3 linked regions of the Struthio camelus genome follow. The protein of the gene in region 3 purifies or fractionates together with the protein of the main gene of each other region. This does not show direct contact. Links are inferred from orthologs where the notes say so. Each region holds a gene or a part of one and is shown on either strand. Other genes may lie near its edges. The genes, in order: SLC39A10, SLC30A1 and METTL9.

Region 1 (10,294 bases), on a different chromosome or scaffold from region 3:
AAAATCTGCATGGGGTTTGGATTATCACAAGAGGTAACCAAACGCAAGTGACCTGGAACAGTTATTCTCTTTCCCCTTCACTCCGGGCTTATATTGCACGAAAAACCCTAGAGAAATAGTACTGATGCAGTAGCACACAGAACATTCTGAGTAAGGGGACTGACAAAGGGTTTATCTTTTTTTCCTTTAGAAGGATAATGCCTGGCCTACATTGTGTTTTCAGCATTCTGATCAGTTTCTGATACTAAAAAAAAAAAAAAAAAGTGGTTTTTTTGTAGCTTCACTTTATCACTTAATTGGCACACATTTCCTCATTAGACTTTATTCAATATATTTTAAATAACATCTCAGCTGCAACTGAAGAATGGCCTAGCTATGAAATTTATAAAGACAACCTGAATTCTTTCCACACCAGGTGTTACTTCAGGCCTCTATCAGCAAGCTAAAAATACTAGTTCTTACTTAAGATAACTTCAGCAGCCCACTCCCAATGATGAATACTCTTCATATACTAAAATTGTATTTTAAATGTTTGCTCTCTAAATTAAATTGGAAAAAAATCACACTGATTTTCTTTACAACAGGAGCAGAGAACAGAAGTTACTCCCAATAAGGCACGAATTCCTAGAACTCACAGAACTCACTCTTGTCCTTAAAGCTCAATTCTGTGAAAAGCATGCCTATACAAAGAAAACGTCAGTACTGCAATTTATCTGAGCTTCTTTCAAACTATCTCCTGAGATTAAACAAAAAAGGCAGGATGCAGTCATTTGACAATAACCAAATTTTAAGCAACCTGTATAATATGAATAAGTATGCAATTCCAATTGATAGGAAAAAAAAAAAAAAAAAAGTGAACTGCTTCCGAATCCTGACTGATTTCTCTTAAGCACCCATTAGACCGTTAAAAAAACTTTAATTTCTGCAAAACTGTAATAGATTTGCTCCTAGCCGTATCAGCTATACATTAAGAATAGAAGTATCTAAATTACAGTTTTTCGACTTGTTCAGTAAAGATCACAGAAGAAATCTATGCCAATCTGGATATATTCGTCTTTACTTCCCCAAGGGGGTATACTTATCTTAATTCATGTAAGTCAAACTATACAAAAGTGTATGTAAATACCTTTAGCATGGCTTCACAGTAAAAATTCAAAAGGAAGGGTTTATTAATATATAAGACCTAACTACCCTAAGTACTCAATAATTTTCTCTTGCTGAGAGAATTTTCAAGATCTAATTCTAGAAGACAAATATTGTGTTGTTCCAGGAGATGCGTGTGTATTGTACGTATGTCAGTTAAATCTTGGTTCAAGACTACCAGTTAAAAACGAGCACTTCCCAGCATAATAGTAGATCAATGTTATTATCAGGATCCATGCTTTTTTAACTGAAAGTAAGCTTTCTGGAACATTCCTAAATTATCAAGATGATTTATTTTCACTACGTATTTTTTATTGCAATGGGAGAAACAAATAAAAGATAGCTAAGGCTGTGATTGCATTTGCACCACTTTCTAAACTGTAACTTTTTTCTATTTGCACATTTTATGATTGTGTGGATACTTACTCCAAACTACGTATCTGATTTTGTCTTTTTTTTAAGCCAACCTCGAAAGTTCAGAAAGACTCACATGAAAACAAACAGTATTAACAAACCTCATTTTTTCAGAGAAAGTTTTCCGATGGGGAGAAATGCAGCGTTTCACTGTCCATTTTTCATGCACCATGTACCTTTAGATAACTTTTAACAGTGATTGTCAAACACATCTGGTAACAACCTGCTTCCTTCTTTTTTTTTCTTTTTTTTTTTTTTTTTTTAAAAGGAGAGCCATGATATTTTGAGTTTCTGATAATGTTTCTATGCTCGACAAACAACAGTCGTCGGTAAACATGGCCGAATCGATAACAGTTTCATTTTATGGATTTATTTATATTCCAGGTAGGTGACTGTGTACAATCCTTCTACACTTATTTTCTGTGAACACTAAGGCACGTTCCCCTACAGAATTCCCCACAATTAATCCTTGTAAAATATATACTATTCCTAGTCTACATACACGCTTTAGCCTCTTTTCCAAATAGAGTACCTAGCTGCAGCATTTTTTCCTCAAATCATATGAAAGTGATGAAAGCAGTTTAAAAAGAATCACTGCAGAAAACACTAAAATGAGCAGCTTTATTAATAACATTTATTTTAGAATAAAAGAAATAGTTAGAATAAGTGTAAATCACATTGGTTTTGACAATTCTCAGAAACCCCAAAGCTTTCCACAGAATTTTCTTATTCTCATACTGTGCAGAATATCAACCTAAGAAGTAATCATTAAGTGAAAGTGTTGTTTTGAGATTGGAGCCATATGCCTCAACAGTCCAAACTGAGTACCTGCTCCTTAATTCATCTAAGGGAAAGGAAAGCACATGTTTCAGTTAAAAAAGTGCGTTCTCCTTAAAACAGAACTTAATAAACTTCCTTTGTAAAGTCTAATGCAATACTTTTTTTTGAATAAAAAAAGTACAAAACAGCTGTACAAAAATTTTTTCCTATTTGAATGTTAGTCATTGCAACACTTACTATCCAAAGAAGCACCAGAAGGTATGAGTTGGAACTTTCCTTAACTAGACAGCCATCACTTCCAGGCTTCTGAAAACTGACCAGGCCTTCCAATGTGTATTTCTCAATGCTGTGTAAGGTTTCAGGTATCTCAGGTTCCCTCTGTATTAGGGTACGACATGCTGTCTTAACGGAAAACTGATGGTTGTTACTTACACACAAAGTACTTACAGAGACAGAAGTGATAATTATTTCTAACTCAGAAACTACTTAGGATACATCACAGAGGCAGGAGTTTAAGAAATAGCAGACATAACATTTTCTACAGAAGCCTTCCAACCCCCAATAAAAAAAGACAAAGATAACTGAAAACTTTAAAGAATAATTTTATTCTAAACAGTTTCAACACATGTATGCAATGGTTCCAAGAGACTCATCTTAAGCATTAAAAATAGGTGAGAAAAGCAAATCAGCTGTTCTTTTTGCTCCTTTTCTTCCTCAAGTAATTTTCTAGCTTTCCGTACCCTTTACCACTTCTTGTGACCAGAGGATATCTGTGTACGGTATACTACATCCCACGACCAAAGTCTCTCGACCTAGATCTCTTACCTTTGCTTATTTTGGATTACGAGCACGTTATGGTCTGAGTGCAATTTCTACAGTTGTAACGCTAACTAGGAACATCAAGCCAAGCAGGATGTAATGGTGGGGCTTGCTCATCAGCTGCAACCGCCGTATTGCCCCAAATACGGCCTAAACACTAAGACAGTCATTCAACATCCCCCTCCCGCGCACCATTTGTGCGCAGCTCTTTGAAGCACCCTCTGCGAAACGGAAGGGATGGCACCTCGTACCTTAACTCGGGGCCCCCACGTGGCCACAAAGAGACGGCACAATGATGGGGCATTGCCGGATTGAAGTGAGGAACACAGGAAGGGTGGAAGAGGGAAATGAAAGACCAAACACTAAGGAGCACTACGTGCAAAGACGCTCTGAGGCGACAAAAGCCTCCCAGGGACACCCCCGCCCCCCGCCCCGACAAAGCCAAGCCGGCGAGGGGCTCTGCCGCCCTACGCAGGGGCCTTGCTCGCTCGCCGGTCGCAGCGGGAGCCCGGCGGCGCCCCCCGCCCCCAACCAACCGCCGCATCCCGCCGCTTTCCCCCCCTCCCGCCTTCTCTCTCCGCCCAAAGCGGCGAGGGCAGTTACAGCCCCGCAGCCACCGCCACGTCCTAGTCCCCTCGTTACGGGGCAGGGGGGCGGGGAGGATTTTACCTGCCGCATGGTCGACTCAAGAGGAGGAGGAGGAGGAGGAGGAGGAGGAGGAGGAGGAAGAAAGGGGGATGCGCCAGGGCCGCGGCGGCGCCTCGTGCTCCGCTGCCTCGGAGCGGGACCGGGCACAGCCGCCCCCCCCTCCCCCGCAACGGCCGCCCCCAACGGCCCCCCGCGCCCGCGAGCGCAGCCCCCGGCCCCGCGGTGGGTCTCGCGGCCGCCACGTGACGAGGCGGCCGCGCCGCTGTGTCCCCCACACGCCGCTCCGCATCCCGCAGGAGGAGGTGTCCGTTACTACCGGCCGCCACCGGCTCCTTCTCCTCTTCAGCAACCCCTCCCCCCCGCCCCCCGCCGCCAGCCCGGGGCCGGCCGCCACCCTCACCGCAGCGCCGGCCGGTTGTGGGGGAGGGAATGTAAACAAATGGGGTTTTATAGCTACCTCACTCGAGTGCCGTGTGCATCTCCCTCTCCGCTCGGTACCAAACCGCCACGGCGCCTCCTCCTCCTCCTGCAGCTCCTGCCGCCGCCGATACGCTATTCACCAACCACGCTTACGCCAAACCCTGGAGCGCGCTCCACGCTCGCCCCCTACGCACCGTACGGATCAGGCTACACGGGCGCCCCCGCAGCCCGCTTCACCCAATGCGGAGCCATTTCCTCCCCTCCCCCCGCCTCCCCGGCTCCACCAGGGCCTACGAAAATGGCGTAGCACCCCCCCCAACCCCCCCCCCCCCCCGCAGCCGCTTGCGCTCATCACTCAAGCGATCGGGGCGGCGGCAGGCGGCGTGGCCGGGCCGGCGGGCCCGCACGGGGCGGGCGGCAAGGGGGGCGCAGGCCCGGGCCCCCGCTTTGGGCAGCCGCGGTGCCTGCGCCATCTGCGTGGAGGGAAGACGGTGCGGCAGGGTGGCCAACGGGGCCGGGGAGGCTCGGGCGGGGGGCGGCGGGACCCGCGGGCGGGGGGGGCGCGGTGCCGTTGGCGTAGCTATGGCGGCGACGAGAGGCATCAGGGTGCCTCTGCCCGAGAGCGGGGCAGTTTAACCCGGGGGCGGCGTGGTCCCGGCTGCAATTTTTTAAAGACTATACATTAATTTTTTTTTTCTGAACACCTGAGAACAGAGAGAAAGGTGTTTCGCGGATATAGTTTGGGTTTTCTAATACTCACTGATGCACCTGAGAGTGAGGTACGTATTATGCCTGAGAGAACTCCAGAGCGGCCTGTCAGGTTTACTCATGAAATAAAAGTACAACTTGTTTATCTAGGTGCTCAGTATAACTCCTCTTTGAGATGGAATCCTTAATCACAATATATTTGAGTACTAGATGAAGTGTTAACAGCTGTAGGACTCAAAAAAGGGAAAAATTAACACTTTATGTAAGAAACTGTAAGTTCACTAGAACAACGCTGAGGATTGATAGACGTTTTGGTTTATAACGTCAGGCCTACAATATTACAGGAATTCTTCACATCAAACACATTTAAAATACACTAGCTTGGTTTGTAATGGCTCTTTCTAGAAAGTATGCTCAACAATTGAAAGGTAATTCTTCACATTTCACAGGAAAAAAGTTATAAAATCTATGAGAAGTCTGCATGCAATTTTCATCATAGCTTCTCCAAAAAAATACCCAGTTTCCATACCAGACCTCAGGCTATAAGCAAACAAGCCCTTCCCCCTCCTTTTTTTTAAAAGGAAGTATGCATATTTTCTTTTAGAACCTCAAATGACTTAACAAACGTAATCCTCTCTAAACTTGCCCCTCTGTTAAACCATGGCTCACACCTGCACCACCCCACGCCCAGCCTGGCGGAGCCAGAGCCCAGTTTTATTCATGGTCCCATTTGAATGCAAACCTTATTCCACCATTATTCTACCCCTAACAGCCTCCCAAAATAATTAGGTGAATTTCTGCTTAGTGACATATCCCTAAAATACAGTAAGAGTTTAAAATACTAAAAACGTAGAGGATTAATAGTGTTAATTTAGAAACCAAAAGAATGTTGATATCCATAAAAAAAATATAAGCAGAAAACTGAAGTCACAGTGCAGAAGAAAACCAGAGTGCATTTTCCCAAATAAAATAACGTGCCTGTAAATATTTGTTATAATGCAAGTAATACCACAGATTCAGGCAGAGAAAGACACACAGAGCTATCACAATCAGTTCTCGATCTAAGACTCCATCAGCTTCGTGCCTTACACTACACCATTCTTTTGGTATGCAATGCTGAGTCTTCACTAAGCTTTTCCAGTTACTTCCCTTTTGGCCATCGGTTTCGTGTCTGACAGACCTTCCTAGCGACAGACTTTCTAATTTCAACATAACACCTTTTTCATTCCTTAGTATTTAGAAGAGGGAAAAAAAGTTATCATTTACCCCCTCAATTTTTCCAAGTATCTTCCCATATTAAACACTAGACTACAAATCATACTGGTCCAAAAATTTAACCACCACTGCTCAGTCCGAGTTTTAGGCATTCCTAAAACGATTATGAGGTGCTGTACGAGAAAGCTGCGCCGAAATCACACGCGTGTTGATTTGAATGATTTCTGGCTGAAAGCAAGTCCTTTATCTATCAGAACTTTTGTACAGCAAACACAATACAGATCTGATTCTGACGCGGTTCGCGGGACACCTATCACAATACCGACTGTTTATCACTAGGCTTGATTTGATTTCTGTTGTTGCTTGCTTTAGAAAGAAATCCACTGAACGCAAAGAATGTAAAATACATTTGTGTATCTTTTCCCTACATACATTAGAATTTATTATTAGAGTGCACAGTACATAACAGTAAAACACAGCTTAATGGGTTTGGTAGCGCTTCTTGTTAAAATGTAGATAAAGCAAAAATTACATAAAAAGCAAAATTAAGCACTCCAGTAAGAAAGAACATTTTAACTCATGAATTGAAATCAACACATTCAGTACCAAAAGGTCTATTAAAGTTTCAAGATTGATTTAGCACTCATTTTGTACCAGTTTTACTGCCTTTAGAGGACTTAAAGAAACATTTAGGGAAGTAGGTAAGGAAGCCTGTGTGAAGGCAATTTTGCCTTACTGTGAAGGTGGTGATATCACATAGCTACTTCCAGAGTTTCACCTGAAGAAGGTGTACCAATAAAGTATCTTTGTACTAGTGGCTTCTCTATGCTGGAGAGGTACTCCTCTTCAGCTGTCATATACTAACTCCAACATTATGTATTTTAAAGCCAGAAGGGACTATTGGTACAACTGATCTTGATTCCCATTTGTCACAGGACATTTCATTTCACTGTACTTGTACCGCGTCAGTAACTCGTGGAACCTTACCTTCCAAGAAGGTGGCGTTCATATACTACATGGTGGGGAATCCAAAACTTCTATCTCCTTACTTGTTAAGGAACAGGAGTTTCATTTGTATTTTGAGTTTGTCTGGCAATAGCTTTTTTGATTAAAGTGCTTGTTACAGCCTTTTATTGATATGTGCAAAAGCCTGCCTCAATCTAGAATCTTTTCCCTGTAGTTCTACGATGTCATATCTTGCAGTCAAGGTCACTGCTACGTAGTTTCAACCGTATATTTTAGTATAAGAACTGCCTGTACGTCAACACTTTAAAAAAAAAAAAAAAAAAAGAGTACGTTTACCCCATGTTTACAAACTAAGAACAAAAGCTATTAAATCAGGCATTACAATTACCAAAGCATGCAATTGAAAAGCATGCTTCCCTGCAAAGCACGTAAAACAACCTTCCATGTCCCGGGAAAACCTGTAGCCAGAAAACTTGTAGCCAGCCCTGACAGAGCGCTGGTATCTTGAGGCAACACAAACGGGTGTAACCGATCCAGATTAAGCTTTCAGCATTCAAGCATCAACTAGAATGACATGTTACTATGCTTTTAGAACAGAACTCTCTTTTTTCTCCTTTCATCTCACAAGGCTGTACTTGTTGAGTAGCACTGCCTGCAAGGTACGCTCATACACTGAGTCACAGGACGGCTATATATCCTAACAGGTAATGTGGAAGAGTTTGCAGTAAAATGCTGCAAAAGCAGAAGGCGGCCTCTACCCGGGTTCCTTCCTGGGATGGGGTGCTGTCTAGAGGCACATCTCCAGCTACAGTGCAGTGCGATGACCTTTTTCCCTTTCCAGTACCCGTGGACCTGATGCATTTGGTTAGCAGACTACAGTGTAAGTCCGCCAGCTGTGTCTGGCACAGAAGGTGATAAAGGAAAAGACAGGACACAGCGTTGTGCTACAAAGGTTTCTCCCTTTGTAACAATCTCGTGGCAGGTGAGGGATACAAGGTTGAGATACACACATGCTATTTTTATATATATATGTGTGTGTGTGAATTATACATATGTACATATGTATATACACATGCACAACCAGCTTACTGAGAAGCAAGTTTTTACTCCCTATCAAATTTAAAAAAGTAAAATTTAGACTTTGCTTCCTCTTACATCCAGTTATTAATTCTTTTCATTGGGGTTTATTTATATCCCGATACTGCATCTGACTGTAAGCAGAAGGAAGAATCTTGTGACTTCTTTGGGGAATTAGGAACAATAAGGTTGAAAAAGATTTTACCCAAGAGAAATTTACTTAGGAAGCTAGTAGTTGAAGGTGTTGACCCAGCTTCTGCTAAATAGCTGGGAGCAAAATGTTATAATTCGCTGCCAAATATCAAATTTTGTACCCCTAAAAGTACAAGTCTCTGGCAAATAGAACTTCTTTGGCTGAAGTGCCCAACTTCTTTTTCTTACTTTTGAAATACTGATGGTTCAAGAAAAAGCCAAGATGATAGCCCCCAAATGAACTTCCTTCTCTATTCAGAATCATTAGAACCCCTAAGTTTTGCCCCAGAGATTTCATCAGAAATGAGAGTGGTTCAATTGCCAGCTGACCTAGTTTTGTGTTTTTCACCTGTCACGTATGTTCTTCTAGCTTCTGTAGTAGCCTTTCATTCCTTCTGAGAAGCACAGTCAAAGTCAGATCTATTATTTCTTATTTAACAATGATCTGTAAGTATTAATCGACGTGCTAAAGAATTTCATGGGGATAACAAACGGCAGAATTAACCTTGGGGAGATGGAGCAACATGGCTACCTAGGCACAGTTCTTGTCAACACTCACCTGCCAAGCACCAAGATTTTAGCAATTTCCCCAGGAGTGAGCCAGCTTTACCACAAGAGGTTTCACTCAGAAATACGGCAACGAGAATACTTCACTGCTGAAGTGAAATATCAGGGAACCGTACAGAAGCCATCTTCCTTCCTCATTACATAATTTCCTAATCTGGATCTCAAAATATGCCCCATTGACCACCTCTCTCTCCGTCTTTGAGCTTACTGATGATGTACAATAGAAGCATATGCGGTTAATTTTACTGTACATATTTACTTCTACTTTCGATATCAAGTATAGTAGTTTGATATGTATTCATCCTCTCTGTGTCCTCTTATAAAACCAGAGGGTATCGAAGCCAGAAATCTGTGGTCCTGGCAGGGTCCTAAGTGAGAGTGCTTATGCATCAGGGTGATTTTAAGCATCACTACAAGCAAATAATGATTCTGCAATTAAAACTCCTGCTTAGAAAGAGACAGTGATTTGTTCTCAGGCATTGCACTGCCTCAGAACTATTTGGCTTGTTTGCAGTGACTGTAAAGGTCAGATTTAGTTACTCCAAGGAACTATATAAAAACAACACTTTCAGGAGAGGCTATACATGCTTTTCACACACTCCTGTTAAACTGGGTGATCTTGTTCTAGCCTTTCCTTAGCAAATTTGTTTACTAAGTTCTAATTGGTTTCAGCTGTATAAATTCCAATGATAATTCAAAGTAGATTTGGTTGGCTTTGCACCAATAAAAAGTATTGGTTGAAAGCTTTTTACTCATAAGATAGGACAAAAAACGAAAATGCATCCTTTTTTTTTTTTTTTTTTTTAAAAAAAACGAACAGTTCTTACCTCTCCTCTCCTACAAAAACATACACATACACCCCTGTAAAAATATACATGCATGGAGGCCTTGAAGCAAAATTACTGATGTCAATCCCACTTCATAATTTTAAATACGGTACTAGTTTAAATATTAACAGGAAATGAATTTAAATAGAAGTCAGGGTTTTTTTGATTATACCAAAAGACGACACATATTTTAAAGACCTTTCTTTCAGAAGTTTTTGAGTTAGAATCTTTGAGAGAAAAGGTTAGCTTTTTTTTTTTTTTTTTTTTAAAACACAAGCTGACATTTTCAGTGGAAAAACCTGAAATCTTTTTCATTAGCTCTAAACTTAACATTACATAAACATCAAAGGGCAGAAGCAAAAGGATGTAATGCTGCAGCAAGAGCTGATGTATTTGTCCCACACAAAGCTTTTTTTCTGCATTATGGAAAGAAGCCAACATGAATTGTAGACTTTTAGTTAATTTTGGAAAGCTAGCAATTACTAGTACAGATTATCCCCAGGAAAATCCTTTCTGGG
Region 2 (10,224 bases), on a different chromosome or scaffold from region 3:
TTCCCCCTTTTGAAAAGCCAGAAGGATAATCACGTTGCTAAAATCTCTCTTAAGCCATAGGAGTGCATTTCCATTTTATATTAAAATTTATGAGGCGAGAAGTTCAAAAGCTGTATGGATACTTCACAGTCACTTCTCTTCAGGTTTAGGGGATTCATTTTCAAAAGACTTCTGAATTCAAGTATAAGGAAGCTTTTCTGAGATGGGGCATGCAACCAGCAGAACTGATGCACTGAGCTAAGCTTTTAGATCTAAAATGCAAGATTTATCAATAGCATTGACTATGGGACAATACAAATCTGAAATACAGTACAATCTCCGAAGTCGTCAAAGGCCATGAACGAGTATTCTTTATAGATCAGAATACACAAGCAGATGTATTTTTGGTACTTGCTTTAAAATACTTTTTTTTAAAGTGACATACAGGTGTTCATGTCCAAAACCACGTGTCATGAACCATGTAATGCACAAACATACATGGCAGTACCCTTCTTTGTCAAAAGTGTCTTTGATACCACCACTCTATCACATCTAACTAGTTACAGAGGAATAAATGCACACATCACCTCAAAGAGGCACTGTCAAACTCTTCAAAGAAAAATATTTTCCAACCTTAGTAACTGAAAGTATTTTACACAATTAACCTCTAACTTTTCTTCAGAAGTTCTTCTTTGGACAGAAAACTTGCAGTGTTAAAGAAATCTAATGGGAACTGGCTACTGGCCTTAAAAACTGAAACAAGGACTTCTTACTGCAGTCAGGGTTATTCACTTTAGAGCTTTGTAAACATTAACATGTTAGTATGACCTATAGCTTTTGCCACTCCGCTATCATGGCTATGGTTCTGTAATCATAAAAGCGTCTACAAGTTGTTTCTTATTTAAGGAGGAGGTGGGTTCACAACAAAGAAGGCTGAACGGAAACGTTCCAAGCCCAAGATTCATTACGCCGTATATCACACTTCAGTCCTAAAGCTCCAGCTACATTTTCCATACAACCTCCAGAAGTTATGGAATATGGAAATATCACTAGAACCTGTAACTTTCCAGTAGAAGTCAATAAATTAGAGGAAGATATCTGAGGTTACAGAGTTCAGACCTCTGGCTTCACAATGAGAACAAAGACGACCTTTTCTGACACTGTGCAGTGTACCAAGTGCTTGGATCAAAGCAGATTCGGAAAGTCAGTAGACCTATCCATAAGGGGTGGATGACAGGAAATACAGTTCCAGGAAGCTCTTGAGATTTTTTTTTAATGGCAACTGGTTAAAATCCGTCAATTTGAAATATGTCTCATTTTAATTTAACTATAAACTGATTACTTTATAGAAAGTGTGTGCATAAAGATTACCTGCACAGTACTAGCCCCCAGGCTATCATTCCATTTCCACTTCAACCTTAAGAAAACGGGGCTTACCCCCATTTGTAATTTCCAATGAAGGCATAATGCTACTGTCAGTCATTTCCCTAGTCTTCACTCACACATCTTACAGCCTAAGACTTCAAGCACCTGTAACATTTTCACAGGTTAACCATGAATAACTCAATCCATAACATAATCATGACATGGCCTAGAGGACATACACACTTATTTGAAAATTTAACACATGACCAAAACTATGTCCTATTACATACTAAATACCCACAGCAAATTATTCTCTATTGCCAGAACTATATTCCTGAGAAACTGCAGAGAAGTTAGCCGAACACAATGTATACTTTAATCCATACTAGAATTCAATCTTTTAACAGAGAACTAGTCAAAAATTTAGCTAAAAGCACAACTCAGGTTTCACTATGCAAGGACAATGCACGACTTTAGATATCAATTAGATTAATGGCCAAATGAATTTTACATTGTTTGAAACTAATTATTAGGATACCTACCTTGCGACCGACACAGTATTAAGAGGCTTATTATGCAGTCAGAAAAATGGTGTAATGTATTCAGGAGAACTTTCCTATCCTCTTTCAATATCTGACTTTTCAAAAGCAACATGGAGCCAAAATACTAAAGAAAAGACAGAGAGAGGAGAGAGAGAGAGAAACTTCTAAGTTTCTCAAATGTGTAATGGAGCCTCTGACCACAGAAATACCAAAACTGTATCAAAGTTCACTCTGTACAAGTAAGCTCAATTTAATCTAAAACAATGGTCTCCTGATATCACCCTGAACATAAGGGAGAAACATGGGCACTGAAACCCTTTCCATGCTGTAACGGGGTTGTCATATGATTAAAGTAGGGAACTGGTAATTACATACCTTTCACTCGGCTAGTAGGCAGCACTTGGCTTTGACCAAGTGACTTCAGAATAAACTGTCCAGGCCTTTGGAGTCATTAAAAAATAATGAAAGAAATTCCCTCCCACAGAAGAGACAGCATGATCAGAACTGGGGACATTTTAAGTTTATGTATGCACGCAAGTGAGAGGGAAGCTGCACGCAGTAGGGAGCTAAAGGAAAACTAACTCAAAGAAACATGCCTGCACTTTGAAACCAGCAAGCTCCACATTCAGCACCTATTATATGACTTCCACAGTTCTGACTCACATTTCCAAGATTTCTTCCTACTAATAAGCTTATCCTGAAGAAGCACAACACTGTTATAATGGAAAATACTTCAATATGTATACTTCACTTCAAAGTGAGAACATTTCTCAGGTAGCTAATAACCAACTCAAGAGATATCTGACTGTCAGGACCAAGGTGTTGAGCTGTACTCTATTTGATGTACAGCCAGTTCAGAAGGCATTAGGGCAATGTCTTGTGACAGCTTGTGTTGCTAGGCAGAAACATTTGTCATGCGCCTTCTCCACCAGCATCAACTTTTCCCAGGGCACACTGGGTTATCCTAAGACTCCTCTGCATGCTGCCCTGTCTACAAGACGAGGACACAATTTAAGGCGGGCTTTGTGGCGCTTGCAGAAAATGCGTAGAGGTGCAACTATCGTGAGCCCCAGAGCACCGACAAGAAACTTTCTTGCCTCTCCCCTACTAGCAAGGAGATGGTTCCCACGAAGCCTGTGTCAGGTGGCAGTGGGGTGCCCACCACTTTCCTTGGGGAAAAGACCTCTCCCCTTTTCCCGACACGTCTATGCTGGGCGGAATGGGAGGGGGCAGAGGTGCCACAGGGCTTACCTAGCTTCTCCTGGCTGACTCCGTTGGAGCTGCTGCAGTTCTCCACCAAGGTGCTGGTCTCCTCCCGGTGCAGGGCAGCATCCCCGTCCGCAGGCGGCTGCTCGGGCTTGGGGCCGCCGCGAGGGTGCTGCCTGCCGCTGTGCGAGTGCCCGTGGCCGTGGCCGTGGCCCCCGACTCCGTGGTGGTTGAAGAGGCAGAGCCCCAGCAGGTTGATGATGAGTCCTGCCACCCCCACGCCGATGACCACGAGCGGCTGCTGGATCTCGTGGGGCTCCGTGAAGCGCTCGATGGCCTCCAGCAGGATGGTGAAGCAGAGGGCGGTGAGGAAGACGGCGTTGACGAGGGCGCCCATCACCTCGGCCCGCACCCACCCGAAGGTGTTCTTCTTGGTGGCGCGGGTGCGCTGGGCGAAGCGCACGGCCACCAGCGCCACGACCAGGGCCATGACATCGGAGAGCATGTGGAAGGAGTCGGAGAGCATGGCCAGCGACGACGTGACCCGGCTCACCACCACCTCCACCACGAAGAAGAGGAAGGTGAGCGCCAGCATGCACAGCAGCCGGGCCCGCCGGTTCTGCCACCACCGCGGCCCGCCCGGCCCCTTCGCCGCCATCCCCCCGCACATCGCGGCGGGGCAGCGGCCGCCGGCGCGGCGCGGAGCGGAGCAGGCGCGAGGAGAGCGAGGAGCCGCCGCCGCCGGCGGTTGGCGCGGCCAACGGTCCCTGGGCGCGGCGGCGGAGCCCCGAGCGCGCGCGCGGCCCCCTCCCCGCCCCCGGCGGCCCGGCCGCCGCCGCTCCCTCCGCAGCCGCTCGGCGAGCAAACTTTGCACCCGAGCCCCCTCACTCTTTCCACACGGAACCCGAGCCGGCACGGCCACGCCCCCCCGCCCGCGCCCCATTGGCCGCCGCCCCCCCCGCCCGGCGGCGCCGGCCCGCCCCCGCCCCCCGCCTCTCCCGCCATTGGCCCGCTCGCCCTCGCGACGGCCGGCCCCCGCCCCCCAGCGCCGCCCGTTGGCCGCGGCCGCACCACGGCGCTGGGCGGGGCCGGGGCGAGGGGGGGCGGGGCTGCGCGTGACGTAGCCGCAGAGCGGGCTGCGGTTGGCAGAGCCGGTCGGCTTCTCTTCCCCCCTCCCTCCCCTCCCGCGGCGAGCGGGACTCGTGCAAAAGGTGCGCTTCACACGGCCCCGGCCCGGCGCGCGCGGGGGGGCGGGGCTCGCCTGCGGGCGGGCCGCGCCGGGCGGAGGGAGGGGAGGGGAGGGGGGGCTCCGCTCCATTCCGTTCCATTGCGGCGAGCCACGCGAGGCGGGGTGGGGGGCCTTTGTGACGTCACGCGGGGCCGTTGCGGGCAGCAACGGCTGCCCGGGGGCGGCCGGGACCCGGGGGTGGCGGCGGCCGGCTCTGCGGCCCGGGCCGGTGCGGGAGCCCCGGCGCCGCGGCCAGCCGGCCCCTCCGGCACCGACCGGCTCTCTGTCGGCGCGGGCTCTGGCCGCCGGCCCCTCGTCCGCCGGTGCCTTCAGGCTGCCCCCTCCCCGCGAGCCGCTGAAGCCCCTCCTCCCAGCTGAGCTTTTTTTCGTTCTGTCGGACGACAAACGCGAGAAGGAGCAGCGCCTTCCTCGCCGGTCCCAAGGCACCGGGGAAGGCTGCAACCCGGCCACGGCCCCTCTGCACCTCCCACCTCCCCCCCCGCCTGCTCGCAACCGGCAGTCGAGCAGCACCCATCCCCAACCCGGCCAAATCCCTGCTCCCGTTTAACAGCTGCCACAGGCTTCACAGCGGTACGTCCAGCCCCGCGGCTATCGCTCGCAGCCCAGCTCTCGTCCAAGGCCCCCCCGCCGTCCTTCCCCTAGCCACACCTCGGCGCCGGGCTCTTCTGACCCCCGCGGTCCGCCCCGTCCTGTGAGCGGGCGTCGCTGAAACGTTACGCTCGCCATGAGTTGGGAAGAAAGTAGTGTTACGCTTACGTCTAACTCCCACAAATGCAACAGCCCCTTTCCCCGCTCCCCGGCACCACCGTGCAGCCAAGTGAAAGACTCCGTTGCTAGCCTGAAGTTTTGGAGCTGTCAGTGAAAGCAAAGCAGAAGGCGAGAGCGGTGCGGTGACAGGTGCCGTGGTGCCCCTGTGTTTCATCGTTCGCCTCCAGCAGCCTGAGCGCCCAGGAGTTTCTGCAGTGGCTCCCACTGGGCAGAAAGAAAGGTGGTTTTCCGGGAGGCAGCTGAGGCAGGATGATGTTTCTTGCAACTGGCTGTTAATTCGATTGCTCACGCAGCAGCAAAGTTATGTTGAATGCATTACATACGTTATTCTTGTTAATCTGTGATCTTTCCTATGCCCCCTCACACTTTATTGCACCCGCCCCAGCCTGAAAATCACCAGCCAGGCACTGTCATCACTGAGTGGTGAGTACATCTCTGTTCTGGGGTACGGACACGTGGTCTTCCATCTCCATTAGTTGCTTCTTCCCTGTACAGAGTTCTAAACTGTTGGATAAGTGTTATTAAGATTTTTAAAACATATGACTGGGAGTAGCAAATATCAAGAAGTGGCATCTAATTACTTCACTCATTCCTGTATGTGGTATAAGTCAACAACTAATACAAATTTAATCAGTGTTTTGATATCATCATTCCTGAGCATCCTGGATGCTCCTACCCTCTGCATGGTAAACATCCAATTTTTCTCTTTTTTTGCCACAGAAAGCAATAGAATGAGTGGTGAGGAAATAATAATTAATGAGTAATCATTTATGGTTAAAAATGTGGAGAGAAGAAGGAAGTAATTTTTCTTGAGGAAGTTTTGAAAGGCTGTAATGTCACAAAAAAAATGTATATATATATATATATATATATATATATACACACACACACACTAACAGATAAGTCCCTAGATACTATTCATTTTATTGAATGTGTTGCAATTAAAAATGAGAGAAAAGGGGAAACAGATGTTTAAACAAATATTTTGAAACATCTAGAAAAAAATCACAAAAATGTAAGAAAAACGTACCAAGAACTTCTGTTTCATATCCTTGAAATGGCAGCAAGTTCATCATTTTACATCTTTTCATGAATTTGTTTTTCTGTTTTTAGTTTGTTTGAGCAGGGCTTAGGACTTGTGTGCCTCAGCCCACTGCAGTGAGCTGAGCAGCACATTGAATGGGAAGGGTCCAGATGAGCTCCAGCGATGACATCTTACTTTATCTACCGTGTTCCACGGGGCCAACCAACAAGGTAGCAAGAAATTGTCCAAGGGCGTTCCATAAATGGAAAATGAAGCGAGAGGAAACAAACTGCCGTAGCTATTTGTAGCTGTACAGCTGTAGCTGTATGTATGAGTATATGGAGGCAATGTGAAAACTATGATGCTCCACAAAGAAGATGTAACGAGAACACAAAAGCCTCTTGCTATGCTTGGAGTTTCGGAAGGGACCATGATTTAGGGTCTATACAAAGGTCCCTGGCGGCTGGAGCTGGAAAGCTAGTTTCATCTCATTAGTTAAGTGGCGGGAGGCGTTGACACTTCCACAAGAACAGATTATCAACAAGCATAACTGAAATCTGTAGCTCAGGATTGGCTTCCGCTACACTCAGCAGACTCCTACTGAATCCACATCTGTCTCCCTTGTTGCTCTCATCCTTGCATGCCATTTCCTCCTCTCCCCTTACTCTGCAGTGTCATAGTCTTTACAACATACACACAGCTTAGGCACTACAGTTGCCACAGTGCTGACCTATGGCCCTGAACCCCATTTTCTGTGAGACTGTTTATATGTCAAATGTTTTCAGTTGTTCAGCTGTAGGAAACCATATGGAATGCTTTAATGACCACCGTAAACAGTACTGGTAAGAGAGGCAGTAATTAGATATAACTATATATAACGTTCTTTTCATGTACCTCTCTTCCCGTATGCCCTAATACCATTTAATAAGATGTTATTTGTAGTCAGGAAGCTGACCATCAATTATACTAAAATGGAACATGCCCATGTTCTGTCCTTCTCGCCCCCACAAGACGCCATTAGTTAATAAGGAAGGATTATCAGAATTTAGGAAATATAGGTCAAGAAAACTACTGCAGCTCAAGCCCTTTAAAATTCCTGCAGGTAGGGAGGGTTATCATTTTACAGGGATTCAGTGTTGAGCCAATGGAATTTAACTAGGGAAGTGGGAAGAACAAGGAATTTCAAAGTCTGATGTCTCTCACGTGCTGGACTTCGGGGATTACTGAAACTGTTAGTTGGTTGCCCCAGTGATGTCGTTACAGTCTTCCTAACGACTGGAAGTACCGGGTCTCTACCTCAGAGATATAGGATAGCAATAAAGCAGTACCATCCTTACCAATAGAACTTAATCAACATTGAACACAAACTTCATGAAGAGTTTTGCCTGACTTATAGGAAGGGGGTTATGACTTTTTTTTGTATCATTTCTTATATAGTAACAATATCCAGATCGGTTTGTAATCCCTTTAACATCTCTTCACCACAAGTCCTCCTAATCCACTCGAGCATACCATACGAGCGCACAATTTGCTGCCATCTTCTCCTTACAAGATGGCATGTTCTGCCCTTGCCCAGGGATAGCCTGCCTGTCTTCCTCCTCCTCCACCCTCCACCAGGCTGAATTCTGAAATCCTCCGGGGACCAAAAGCCACAAGACATGGACTATACACCTCAAGGGAGTGGGAGGCCATGAATCCTTCCCAGGCAGGAGGTGACAACGTATCCTCAGGCCTTCTGCTCCCTGATGAGCAGGGCTGGGCGTGCAGCTTTGTCTCAGGGGATCCCGGTGGACCCAGCCCCTCCGTTATCTTGGTTCCCTTCAAGTAAAGAGACTTGGGTACCTGTAATCCCCGACGTGTGCCACTGCCCAGAGTGCCGCTCCTGGATGTCAGGCACAGACCGGCAGCTGGAGCAGACATGAGCTCGCATCCCTACCTTCGCCCTGGAGTCTTTCTCATAAACTAGAGTGCGCTACACTGTTCTTCCCAGGCTTTTCTATTGTGTTACCATACATTAGCAACCAACAGGAACAGGGACGGTTCCTAAATTTAGGACTGTCCATGTGGCAACCTTTTAAATTGTAGGTCTAATAGGAAAGTGACTGATAAAGGTCACCTTTATCAATCAAGTCTTTACCCAAAGCAAGCCATAAGGCAGTGTGCTTACAGGAGAACATTTTGTTCCTGCTTAAGTATTTGAGAAGAATGCTATGTCTTCAAAGCAGGGAGGGCTCCGCTTTTTTTTTTTTTTTTCTTAAGGCTTCCAGGCACTGTTTGTGACTCACCCAGTTCGTCTCTCGGTTCACCTTCCAGTCCACGCATGTGGAATAAGCAGCTTCCAAATGTATTTGCTTATTGAAAATGTGTTCTGAGGGGAGAAGCAACTCTGAACCTCCCATGTGCACCTTCGTACTGCCCCAGAACTGGATGGCAAGGTGGGAAAAGGCTAGACAGAGCTTCATCTCATTGCCTGCTCTGCAGAAAACATTCCGCCCTGAGTGCTCCTGAACTCCCGACTAAGTCAGCTGAGCGCTGTGGGAAGAATGGGACTTTGGTTGGGAGATTCACTGTTACTCAGCATGTTTGCTGAGTAAACAAAGTCACTTCTTTTTCCTTTGAATTTCTGTGCAAATTTGTAAGTGGAGAGAGCTCAGCCACAAAGGGCACTTCATGGCTATGTGCCTTTTCCGCTCGGAAAAGGTGAAACGCCGTCTATAAACCCCTGCGCAGTCACATATCACGGAGCACACTGCCTCCTTTTAACACCTAACTTGTTCCCTTTCTGTGCAGTCATCAGACCTGTCCCTGCTTTTTAACAAAGGCTTGTGGGACTGGCAAGCATGACTCCCTCTGCCTGTTCCGCTTCAAGGCTGTCAGTGTTCATTTTCGGTTGTGTTTCTTGCGGGCAACGTCTCTCTCTGTTAGCTGTCCTTACAAGGTTTCTTCAAATTAGATCCAGCCAGCGACACCAAAGACAAAAAAAAGGTTCACTGTACACTTATCTAAACAAACAAGTTTATTTCTTGCAATGGAAAACAATACAAATGAAAAGTGAATACTATTATTCACATAGCTCCATGTCAAATTCAGTGTTATATCCTGATTAAGGAAAGCAGATTTATCAAGGAAAGGACTTAAACGTGTGTTTGCAGTCAATTAAAAGGCCTTTGAACAGGGACAGAGTTAAACGTGTGCTTAAATGCTTTCACTTGCGGCCTATGAAGAAAGACTATTGCTGTAATTGGCATAAAGATAAGAAGTGAAGAGTGTCTTGCTCTGTAAAGGTATTTCTTTTTCCACCTAGTTACTATGTCTGGGAAATTTGGGGTCTTTGGAGGTCAATACCAGAATGCCAAACAAGTTGAGTGTGTTAGGATATCTCATTATTTTTCTTCTGAACCTTGCAAAGCAGATGAAAAATAAATTCTTTTTTTCCCTTCCAAAATCTTTTCTCCTTAATAGAGAAACAATGTTTGTAAAGGATGCTTTTCTTATTTTTGATTTCTGTCTTTCCTTTCTAGGTTAGTTATTTTGTTTTCTTGTCATCCATCCATTCGTTTGATCAAATAGCATTTGGCAGCCTTGACCTTGTTCATAACTTCTGCCACAATTAACTGAACAACCAGTCTGTAGCTGTTTTTAATGAGTATGTATTTTTCAGTGGACTTTCGAGCGTTTCCTGGCTGATTTGATTACCACTTTGTCTGCTGATGGTAGAACTGGTATTTTCTTAAAATTCACCAATAAGCAGGCAAAATTGTTGCTCTAATCAATTGTGAAGTTAACAGACTGTGGTTTTTGAGCTAATAACTTATTCGATGTTTAAGTGGATCCTACCAGAAAAATCATCATCATATTAATCATTACAAGAAAAAAAAAGTCAGAAAAATGTGTTGTTATTCACTCTTCTACACAACCAGCTCTCTGCAGGAAAAATAAGTAATAATGATTTGACAAGGATGGGAAAATTCTGTAAATATTGAAATCATGGGATGAAAAAGTGTCTTTGCAATTGATCGGTGGTAACATTTTGATTATTACTGAAAAAAAATCCGTCACATGGCATTTTTGATAAATCGTATTGTTAAACT
Region 3 (10,408 bases):
AGATAATCCATATTGAGCAACAATGGTTTTCAAATTGTGTAATGATGAGACGTTGGGTATCTACCGCCTTAATTTTTTCTTTGTTTTGCCTGGTGAGACATAAGTTTAGGACCACCTCTCTTCCTGAGTGCCAGTTACTTGAAAGTACAAGAAGATGCACTTTACGTGTCTAGACTTTGGTTGACCCAGCTCATTTCTACGGCTCTACGTTTATCATCATCATAGATAATTTGGAAGAGAAAGGAATGTAAGAATTTGATGTGCGTTTTGGTGGACACTGGCCTAACTGAATTAAGAGGTGTGAGATTTGACATAGCAATCTTGGAAAAAATAGATATTCTTTTGTGCCTCAGTTTTTCCATTTGCAGAGTAGAAACAACTTTGTTGCCCCACTTTTTGTAACGTGCAAAGTGCTTTCCAATCTGTGAGTGAAAAAGTGGGATATTGTTGTTAAACATTACTGAGAAATCCAAACGAACCTTAGGATATGAAGATTTATGTTAAAATGTAAGAAGCCAGAAGTGTGATGAAGTTAAGTTGCATTTATCTGTTTTTTATCTCTGCTTTGCCAGAGATACCATTATTGATTTGCACCGTAGATGCTAATAACATTATGCACACATACAAGTGTCACATGTATTTACATATCCAAACAACATTTGCAAAAGTACTAGAACAGACATGGGCTGCATGTTTACGTTCTGTATTTTAAAAGATGCACTGTCTTGTCTATATGATTTTGCTGCCTGGTGACAGTGATCTATTTTTAAAAACCAATAGCATGATTTGATTGTTAGCTAGGAATCCCCGTCATTCTTATTGTTTTGTGGATGTGGTTACTGAAGGAGAAAAATCGGAAGGAATTTACATTAACCTAGACTTTGAGCCATTATATGAAACTGTTTTCTCCCTGACCACTCCTTTCAAGGTGGCCATAAATAATTTACAATAGTTTTATTTTTATTTAGTTTCTCTGACAGTATTTCCCAATTTTCACGTGTTTATCCTTTTTCCTACAGAATATATATTTTCTGCTAGGAGAAAATGTTATTGCTTCATAAATACGGTGTTTCTTAGATGACTGCATTTATTAGTTTGTTCTAATAGAAAGTTACTAGAATACAGCGTTCAACCAGGAAAGTACCGTGCTATACAACAGGAAAGCTAATAAGCGACTTTAACAATCAAAAACATACCAAGAAGTCTTTGAAACGGTCAGAATCAATTTATCTGGAAAATGTTTGGTAAAGCTACCGTTTTATTTGATCAAGTAAAGGCTGAAGGCATAGCTTGAATAGTCTCTTTAAACTGCTGTATCTTCAGAATTAAGATAGGAGAAGTAAAGAGTCAAAAATTTTTAAATGAGACTGCCTTAAAAATGGGGAATTAACTGTGCAGAATAACTGTGTTGAGCAAAGAAAACCTAGAAATACAATGCGAATAATTTAACAGGTAAAATAGTAGTTAAATCTACAAATGACTAAAGTATACTAATCTCCCTTTGTCTGTCCTATTTCTCTTGCTAAGAGGACAAGAAAAAAGCACCTTTCATCACAGCAAGGGTCAAACCAAAAGGGAGCTGGCAAACTGGTTAAATTCAGGCCGTAGTCTTAATCCAAGAATTAGCAATAGAAGATTGACAGTACGCTATGATTGACATCGCTTATTCTCCATTTCTCTGCCATCCACTAAACTTTGTTATCCTTTATTAAACCTACATGATTGTTTTTGGCCATGAATCAAGTAAATGATGATCAAATGCGAAAGTACAGTGTCTTGCAGCAGCTGGTTTGTCTGCCTTCACTCCCCATTAGCTAACAGTATCTGAGCTTGAAGTCTTCCTGCTGGAAAAATGCCACAATTTAATCTTGATAATTTAAGAGTGTCTAAAATAGCCTCATAATTGACAGAGAAGATTTAGATGTGTATAATATGAAACAGAAACATTATGATAACTTCACGGAGTTAGAAGCTTGATGCTTGAATCCCATTACTTCATAGAGTTTCCGTACAGGTTCTCAGAATTTAGATCTTAATACACTGAATGAATCTTATTTATTGGAAGTCAATAGGTAAAGGTGTCTGTTGGATTTAAAAGGATGTTATATAATAGACACGACAGAATGCTAGTCTAATCATAAAGTAGTAATATAATATGTGGTTAGTGATGGAGTGAAAACAGATCGAATAAAGGACAACAAAAGTATCGAATTTTAAGTAGGAAAGAATTAGATTTATATTTTGTGGAGGTTACAGTCCTGTCTCTGTTCTCTTCTTGTACAAAATGACCTTCCCAGTCTCCTGCTGTGCTGATTTTGGAACTGCTCAGTAATTCATGAATAATGCTATGTTGACATGGTTAGTAGGATGTTTACATTTGAATATAGTTGTATAGCTTAATGGGGGCTGTCAGGAAAGACAAAGCAGGAAGGGAAAGGAACAGTTAAGATAAGCCACATCTCCACAAATACTTAGGAGCTCTTTCTTACAGTATTATGTCAGCTCAGGAAAAAGCTTAATAACACATGCAATGAAAAAAAATTCTAGCAGATTTTATAAAGGAACATAGAGCTGAGACTGGGGGAGCTGTCAGGCGTTGTCTGAGAGAGCTGGATGATCGAACCCACAGGCACCAGGAGGCATGGGTGAAGAAAATGGGCTTCCTAGGTTACTTTGGGAAAGGGGATTTTAGGTAAGGTATCTGTGTTTGTTTAACTTAAAGCCCTCTTTCTGGTAATCATTTTCTTACTACTACTTAAATAACAAAAGCAAAGGTTGTTTTATTGCTCTGCTTGATTGGGAAGACTGCAGATTTACATCCTAGAATACATGAAGCTGTGGAGCTAGCTAGCTTGTGGAGCTGTGTGAATCCTGCTCCAGAAGACAAGGTTCCCTGTGATCACCACAAAGCGCACGCAATCGTCTTAAAAACACTCCTTTATAGGTAAGTATTCAAACCTTTGGATATGTTTTGGACCTTTTGGACCCTTGGTATTAAATAAAATATAGAATTTTCCCAACATGAAGAAGAGGTATCTAAAAAAATGAGGAGAAACAAGGAAGAAATACGATTATATTTTTTTTCTGCAAATCCTCCCCCAACCGTGCTAATTGCTTTGAATGATATATGCATACATTTATACAAAGAACAGTTTTCTGAGATTGTCCAACAATTGATACAGGTTATAATTCCATCAGCATATGTGCAAATGACAGTGCATCAAAATTATTGCCTAAATGTGCATGAATAGTACATTTTTTATAGCTTGTCAAGAGAAAAAATATGCTTAGTATACAACTACCAGAGTAGAATATTAATGACCAATGTAATACAGAGTAGGAACTTTGGAACATCTCATTAAAACATACCCAGGTTGTATAATAACAATACAGAGATGAAAACTAGCATATTTCTTAATTTATTCAGTATGCAACTCATTATCTGTATATTTCTTGTGATAACATTAAGATACATTTCCTTGTGAACCACATGCAACTAACCAGAGGCAATTTTATTTAGTGGTTTACACGTTGCAAGCAGATGTCTGTTTAAAAAGCAGCAAATTTTGCTTTGTCATTTTCAATTTTGATTATAAAGCTGTTTTATCCCGGGGGGGAAAATAAGCTAATCTGTCTTTACAAACAAGAAGATACATAGAAAGGAAAGTCCTGATCCTAAACCAAATAAGTAGTAGTAGACCGAAAAGGCATCTTGCCCGTCTAGCTAGTGGAGAAAAATGAATCTTTGTCTGGAAAAGTGTCCAAAGCTCTCACATCAAAAACTCTCCTTAAGGAGGCTGAACATCAGTGAAAATAAACTGAACAGAAAAAATCCTCTGGCAGTATTTTGTCGTTGCTCTGGTTTTCTTATTTCCCAAGCTAACCAAGGTTGGATTTTATTAGTGCTTGATCAGAGGATCTTCCCGGTAGAAGTCAGGATCCTTGTGGTGGTTTGACTTTGTGTCATCCTTACCAGGAAAATAAGGGGCTAGGCTCCAGCCTTTCAAATCTGATCAAAAGGAAAGATGCCAATTGCTTGTGTTCATTAGGAAAAAAATGTCTGAGAGACTAGAGACGATAGCCCTGATGCCGTACTCAGCTGGAATTTGATTAATGAGATGGGCTTTGTCTAGGTTTTCTTTCTTTCAGTTGGATGTGGTATTCCTCACTTTCCGTGCTACTACCATGAGTAACCTGCGTTTATTAGAGAGTAATTGGGCACAGTGATATAAAACCTAACCCAAACCCACAGAAACTAATGCTCTTGTCCTAACAAAGGCATAAGCTACTGTATTAAATGCCAGAAGGCTTTTATCCAGCTTGACCTGTCCCAGATTAAGATGTTTTGATAAGCGTTGTCTGTTCCAGGCTGTTCTGCCGGGGGTATTAGCTGCATTCAGCACGCGTTTTCCTCCGCTGGTCTCCGCTGTGCCCCCACGCTCCCAGGCACACAACCACGCGGGAGCCTGACTCTCAAGTTCCCGTTTTCCTACCTACGCACTGACTTCTCCTTCCTCTGCATGGATACCCCACCGCTTCAGGAAGACGTTCAGGAACCAAGCTGACCTCAGATCCGTCTGCTCTAAACACTAACTGTGCTCCTGCCGCAGAACCAAGGCTGCAAATTTGAGAGACCTTTTTAGGTCAAAACATTGCAAGAATCCCACGCTAGCAGCAACGGTTTGCTTCGAGCCATTGCAAAATAGTTACAAGAAAAAAATGCAGTGTTTGAGGACTTGAAGCCAGATTTCGTATCAAAAGACGTGTAGGCTTCCATTTGTACGCAGAAGCGCCTGTCAAAGAGCCGACTCCGTAACGACCAATTTATCTTTAAGCGCTTATGTTTGGGGCTGTGCACACATCTCGACGCCTCAGTGCTGGCCGACCTTAGTGCTGCGCCTACCAGAAGAAGGGAATGGAAACAAAACAACAGGTAAAGCACCGCTTCCATCCATACTACTGCAGCGGCCAGGCGTTTCTCAAACTGAGGCCCTAATCCCAACGCTTTACACCTTAATGAGGGCAACGAGGGGCAGAAAGCCCAGCGCGCCAGGCGCTGGGGGAAACCGCCGCTCCCCAACGGCGCGCCGCCCTAGGCGGCAGCTCGTCCTCCCTTGGAAACTCCCCCCCCCCCCCCCCGGTTAAAGGAAAGCGGGAGCGGGCGCCCCGGGGAGGCCGCGCCGTTTGGGCTCTTCCGCCCCGAGGAGGCGACGCGCCGCAGAGCGGCCGCGCTGGGGCCGCCCGGGCCTCGTGTGGCGACGGCGCCGCCTCGCGCCCCTCCCCCACCCCCGCTCTGCGCAGGCGCGGGAGGAGAGGAGAGGGGAGGGCGGCACGCGCCCGCCAGCCGCCGCCCGGGCGACGGGGCGGGGCGGCGCCGAGCACGTGCGCGGCAGGGGGGCGGCCGGCGCCCGCCTCCGCTGAGGGGAGGAGCGCGCGCGCGCCGCTCCTGCCGGCGATGCCCGGAGGGGAGGGACGAGCCGCCGCCGCTGCCGCCATTGTACCCCGCTCCGGTTTGAAAGCGGCGGCCCCTGCCGCGCCGCGGCCCCGCCCGCGCTGTGATTGGCGAGCCAGAGGGAGGCAGCCGGCGCGTGCCAGGCCCCCGGCGTGTCGCAGCCGAGCCGTCCGGGCGGCCCGCGCTGCCGCGGCGCCCCGCGTTCCGCCCCGCGCCTGTGCGCGGGCCCCGAAGGGGAGCCGGGCCGGGCCGAGCCGAGCGCGGCGGGTCGCGTGCTGCTGGCGCCGCCGCCGCCGCCGCCATGGCGAGGGGAGGCGGCGGCAGCGGGAGGGGGTGACCGCGCGCCCCTGCCCCCCTCATGAGACTGTGGCTGGGCTGGCTGGGCTGCTACACGCTGCTGCTGTGGGCGCTGCGGAGGAGGATGTGGTCTGGCCCCGCCAGGTACCTGCGGAGCCCTTTATCCAGGTCCCTCTACGCCAACATGATGGGCAGCCACAGCCCGCCGGCGCCGGGCACCAGCGAGAGCCACCAGGTACCAGCGGGGGCGGCGGCCGGGGGCCGGGCGGGCTCCTGAGGCGGCGGCGGCGGCGGCGGGGCGGGCAGCGCCAGACAAAGGGAGGGTCCCGCTGCGCCCGCCCCGCCGCCGAGCCGGGGGTGCGCCGGGGGCCGCGGCGGCGGCGGAGCCCCCCCTCCCGGCGGGGCGAGCCCGGCGGCCGCGGCTGCGAGCCGGGTGTCAAACCCGGCCGGCGAGAGCGGCGGCAGCACCCGCCCCTGGCGGTCCCGTGTCGTGTCCCCCCCCCGCGCCGGGAGCTGCCTGAGTAACCGGCGGCCGGAGGACGCGCAGGTGGCGGGGGCGGGGTGGGGCCGCAGCCGCGTTTGGGTTCGTACCGGGGCGTCTGGAGACAAACAGCCCGAAACAGCGGCGAGGAGGGAAGCTGCAAAGCCGGCCGAGGCCTTGAACTGCCGGTAGCGGAAGGCGAGCTGGAAACGGAGGTGGCGATGTGATCCGGCGGCGAGAAAGGGCGAGCGGAGCTGTTGGGCGGCGCAGGCGGCGAGCAGCACCGCCCGCGGGGCCCTGGGGCCCGGCCCGGCCCCGGTGCTGGGACGCGCTCGGGCCCGGGCTGCGCTCCTGAAAACCCGGCGGCGCTTGAGAAGCGCTGGTCATGACCGCTGCAGCGCCGAAGGAAGGGGCTGACTTATTCTAAGGAAAATCCGCATAGCCCAGCTAACGAAGAAGACGTAACCCGAAATACTCGAGGGATGCTGACAAAAGGAAGGACGTGATTATACGCTGTAACTCTTCGAGCTGATGCGTTACTGTTTTAGCTTTGTTAGTGCTCAAGGTGGGTGCTAACACCGGGGATCTTGCTGCTGAGCGAATAGATTACTGCTGTTTGGATCGTTCGGTACGTAAAGGGGAGGATGGAAGCAGAATTTAGCTTTCCAGCGCAAACTTTCTTCCTGCGAACAAAGAAAACGTGCAGTTCTTTTCTGTTGTTAAAAACTGTACTAGAAAGACGAGGAGATAAGAACACGGGCCACGGAGGTGATTATTTCATTCACAGGTAGATAGATGGTCTGCAGTGGATAGTCTCCATCTCTAATGTATAGGATCTGGGTTTTAAACTTCAAGTATTGATTGTTTAGTGAGTTCTTAAAGATCGGTTACCGAGTTTGTGGGGTTACCCTCAGAAGTAAGGGTTGCATGTTGACCCGCAGGTACTTTCACTCTCTGAAGTTTTACTGAGTTCCTCAGTTTTACATTAGTTAACGGAAATGGTATTTTCTTCCTTTCATTAATATTAGGCAAGAGTTGCCAATAATAATTTTTATTATAACAAAGGTCTTCACAAATTTCTCTTCAGATTTCTTTGATGCGCTGTAGTATTTCTACTATTGTGCTATACCAGATTGGTACAGATTGATGTTGTGAGACTAGTGGCCTGAAAAGGGCTCCTTGCATTTTGGACAAGGAGAAAAACAAAAGGAATTTCTGTTTTGAGGAAGTAGTTCCAGAACGAAGCTTTCTTTCCTTACTTTTGTTATTTGAAATTTGTATTGTTTTTATCCTGGGCACTTTTTGCTTATAGTTTCCTGATATTTCTAATACTCACTAGCGTTATATCGGCAGTTATAAACGTTTTAACCGATAACCTTATGCAAGGTAAGCTTTAACTATGAAGAAGGAGGAGGAGGGCTATGAGCAATCCCTAATTTCTGGAAATATGCTTCCCTTCTCAAAGGGGCTCCTCTTCTCAAAGTTGCCACCATCATCATTCTTCCAGTGGTTATATCAATATATATCAATATTTGGAAATCTTGAAGACAAAAGACTGTTGGTTTCCATGGCTTCCATGGCTGGATCCTGGAACTACAGATGATGAGATTCAGTGCAGAACCAAGGTTTATGAATAAGCTCAGGGACAGCACATACGTAGTCACGTTACTTACGGATCAAAGCCCGTGATTCCCAAACTTCTGATGCTTTATACACCACCTTCTGGATTGAAAATGGCAGCGCAAGGTAGATGTTCTGAGCCACTCCAAGCCTGTGCAGTGCAGCTAGGCAGCAGCCTCATGAACAGCTGCTGAACCTGACCCATATCCCAGCCTGCTCCTCAGCTCCCTGGGATTGTTCACTTCTGCCAGACTTTTGAAATTGGTTTCCAGAGCTGGATGGACAAAACATGCAGGCTGCTGCTTTGGTGCTTTTTCACAATTCGCTGACAATTCCTTTTGGGAATCACTGGTCTGTGCTGGTTCACTCACTTCATACTGTGCTGCCGCGAGAGAAGACCCAAACTGGTAAATGGGCTGTCATGGGGATCCTTGTGCCATGCTGCGTCGTGTGATACAGACTTGCTCAAAGTCTAGTTTTTAGAGGGATGGATCATCTACTCGTGCTACCTACAAATGCTGTTGGGAAGCACTGTTTGAGAGCCCAGTTCTGCAGGGAGGTACGCAACGTGCAAGTTTTCGAAATAGACCTGTGCAGGCATATATTTGCTCCCTTGGCTGAAGGGTATGGAAATACCTTGTTACTTTGGGGTCTGTGTCTGATGGAGCTGCTGTTTATCAATCTGGCACAATGATCTTGTTGCAGCTGTCTACTCCCCTCTGTTTGTTGGCACTGTTACTGTGAAGCAGCAGGATACTGGAATACGAATCCTGTACTGTTGTTATTTGTATTACAGTAGTGACCAGCAGTCCCATTGTGCTGAACATGGTGTAAACATGCATTAAGTGACTTCCTCTCCCAACAAGTAACAACAAGCTTTTGTTTGTTTGTTTAATATTGGGCAGTTACCCCAGCTGACCTCTTGCTCTCCTTCCAGATGCATTTTTATAGGATTCTATTAAAACTCTCCACTCCTCCTTAAGATACAGCTCTCTACCTGTATGGTGAATACATGCAACCAGGGTAGAGAACGTTCTTGCAAGATCTGAGGGGAAGATAGCAGAAGAGGGCTTTGGCTATAGGCAGCAATTCTTGGTAATAGGAAACAAACACAATGGCATTAGAGATTCTACAAGAAGAGCTGTCAGTAACTCTGTGCATAAGCGTGGGAGACACTGAAATAGAATAGTGACATTCTTAATTAAAATTATAATTAAACAGTTGTAGCACACACCTGTTGAGTTGAGGGGAATTATTAAGTCTGACATTACAGACTAGCAGTGAGCAGCCTTTTGACTGTTTTGAATCAGTGCTGGCCTTCTAACATCGCAGTATTTCTGTAGGGCTGTCTTGTTTTGCACACGTTTCTTAAATTTAAAATGATGTAAACACAGTAAGTGTTAAAGGAGGAGTTTAGCAATGGCTTACACACAAATAACAAAATGTTAGGATGTGGTTTGGTTTATTTTACTTTTCCAGATAGATTTGATAGGAAAAAGTACCACCCTTTTTCTTCAGAATTAGCTGAATAATAACTTGCGTATCAGAGCGAGTTTGTAGTTCGTATTGGAGTAGTTGTTACCAGGTGACACAAGGTGAAAGGAACCACTAGTCCGTTTTAACTTGTCTACCCTTAGAAAAGTATAGTGCTGCCTTCCGACTGATCCTGATGACTTCTTGGATGATGTGGGAAGCTTCCTGTTCATGCAGCTTCCTCACATCATCTCTACTAAACAGATAATGGTTTCGAATGACTTGTGAATGTGCTTGTTGGCACTAGTCTGTGAGGAAGTGTTGTCCATCAGCCATACAAGACAGACAAGCAGTTGCTTAAAGTGTTGATTGGATTCCTCATCTCCTTTCCTGGAAAAATACTGCAAACACACCGTCCTGGTTTCTTTTCAGAGGATGCCTAGTGAAAAGCTGAGAGTGAGTTGGAAGACAGAAAACAGTGTTACCCACTTCCACTACCCTGTTTTACCAGAGTGGTGCTATTCTGTAGTGGACCTGTGTTTGCTTTCTAGGAAAGCTGCTCTGTAAAATTCTTCAAAGTACAGGGTAATAGTTAAGGCAAAAATTAAAAGTATTGTTTCTTAGTAATTGGACTTTGTTTGATTACAGCTCACATCTAATGTAAATAGATCTTAAAGTTTATTTAAAAATCTTTAGGAAAAACTGAATTTTGATATTTATAGAACAGCTTGATACTAGCCCTCTGAAAGTTTACTTTTTTTTTTTTTTTTTTAAAACAACTTCTGTTTTTATATTGCTGAACTTTTAATGTTCCTTTGTCTCTTTCTCTAGTGGTATGTCTGCAACACAGAACAGTTGTCCGAATCCCTTCAGCCTATTTTTGTCCAGAGTTACCTTGACCAAGGAACACAGATCTTCTTAAACAACAGCATTGAGAAATCAGGCTGGCTCTTTATCCAGCTCTATCACTCTTTTGTGTCCTCAATTTTTAGCCTCTTTATGTCTAGGACATCTATCAATGGGTAAGTGAAAAGTCAATCTTGGGTAAACTAAGTACATTTTGGATTTAAGTTTTTTCAAATGTT

Evidence for each region.
Region 1: the proteins of METTL9 (region 3) and SLC39A10 purify together in Homo sapiens (co-immunoprecipitation; 3 studies listed by BioGRID and IntAct, with this or other methods). This does not show direct contact. The link is inferred for Struthio camelus from reciprocal best matches to the Homo sapiens genes METTL9 and SLC39A10.
Region 2: the proteins of METTL9 (region 3) and SLC30A1 purify together in Homo sapiens (co-immunoprecipitation; 3 studies listed by BioGRID and IntAct, with this or other methods). This does not show direct contact. The link is inferred for Struthio camelus from reciprocal best matches to the Homo sapiens genes METTL9 and SLC30A1.

The regions. Positions count from the first base shown.
Region 1 is NC_090947.1:12,521,383-12,531,676, forward strand, and holds the start of SLC39A10 (zinc transporter ZIP10), read right to left. Parts: upstream 3,990-10,294; 5' UTR 3,835-3,989; coding exon 3,826-3,834; intron 1-3,825. UniProt on the Homo sapiens protein: Zinc-influx transporter. When associated with SLC39A6, the heterodimer formed by SLC39A10 and SLC39A6 mediates cellular zinc uptake to trigger cells to undergo epithelial-to-mesenchymal transition (EMT).
Region 2 is NC_090944.1:113,828,966-113,839,189, forward strand, and holds the start of SLC30A1 (proton-coupled zinc antiporter SLC30A1), read right to left. Parts: upstream 3,864-10,224; 5' UTR 3,763-3,863; coding exon 3,138-3,762; intron 1-3,137. UniProt on the Homo sapiens protein: Zinc ion:proton antiporter that could function at the plasma membrane mediating zinc efflux from cells against its electrochemical gradient protecting them from intracellular zinc accumulation and toxicity.
Region 3 is NC_090956.1:9,314,804-9,325,211, reverse strand, and holds the start of METTL9 (protein-L-histidine N-pros-methyltransferase), read left to right. Parts: upstream 1-5,692; 5' UTR 5,693-5,810; coding exon 5,811-5,984; intron 5,985-6,340; exon of another isoform or gene 6,341-6,601; intron 6,602-10,154; coding exon 10,155-10,345; intron 10,346-10,408. UniProt on the Homo sapiens protein: Protein-histidine N-methyltransferase that specifically catalyzes 1-methylhistidine (pros-methylhistidine) methylation of target proteins.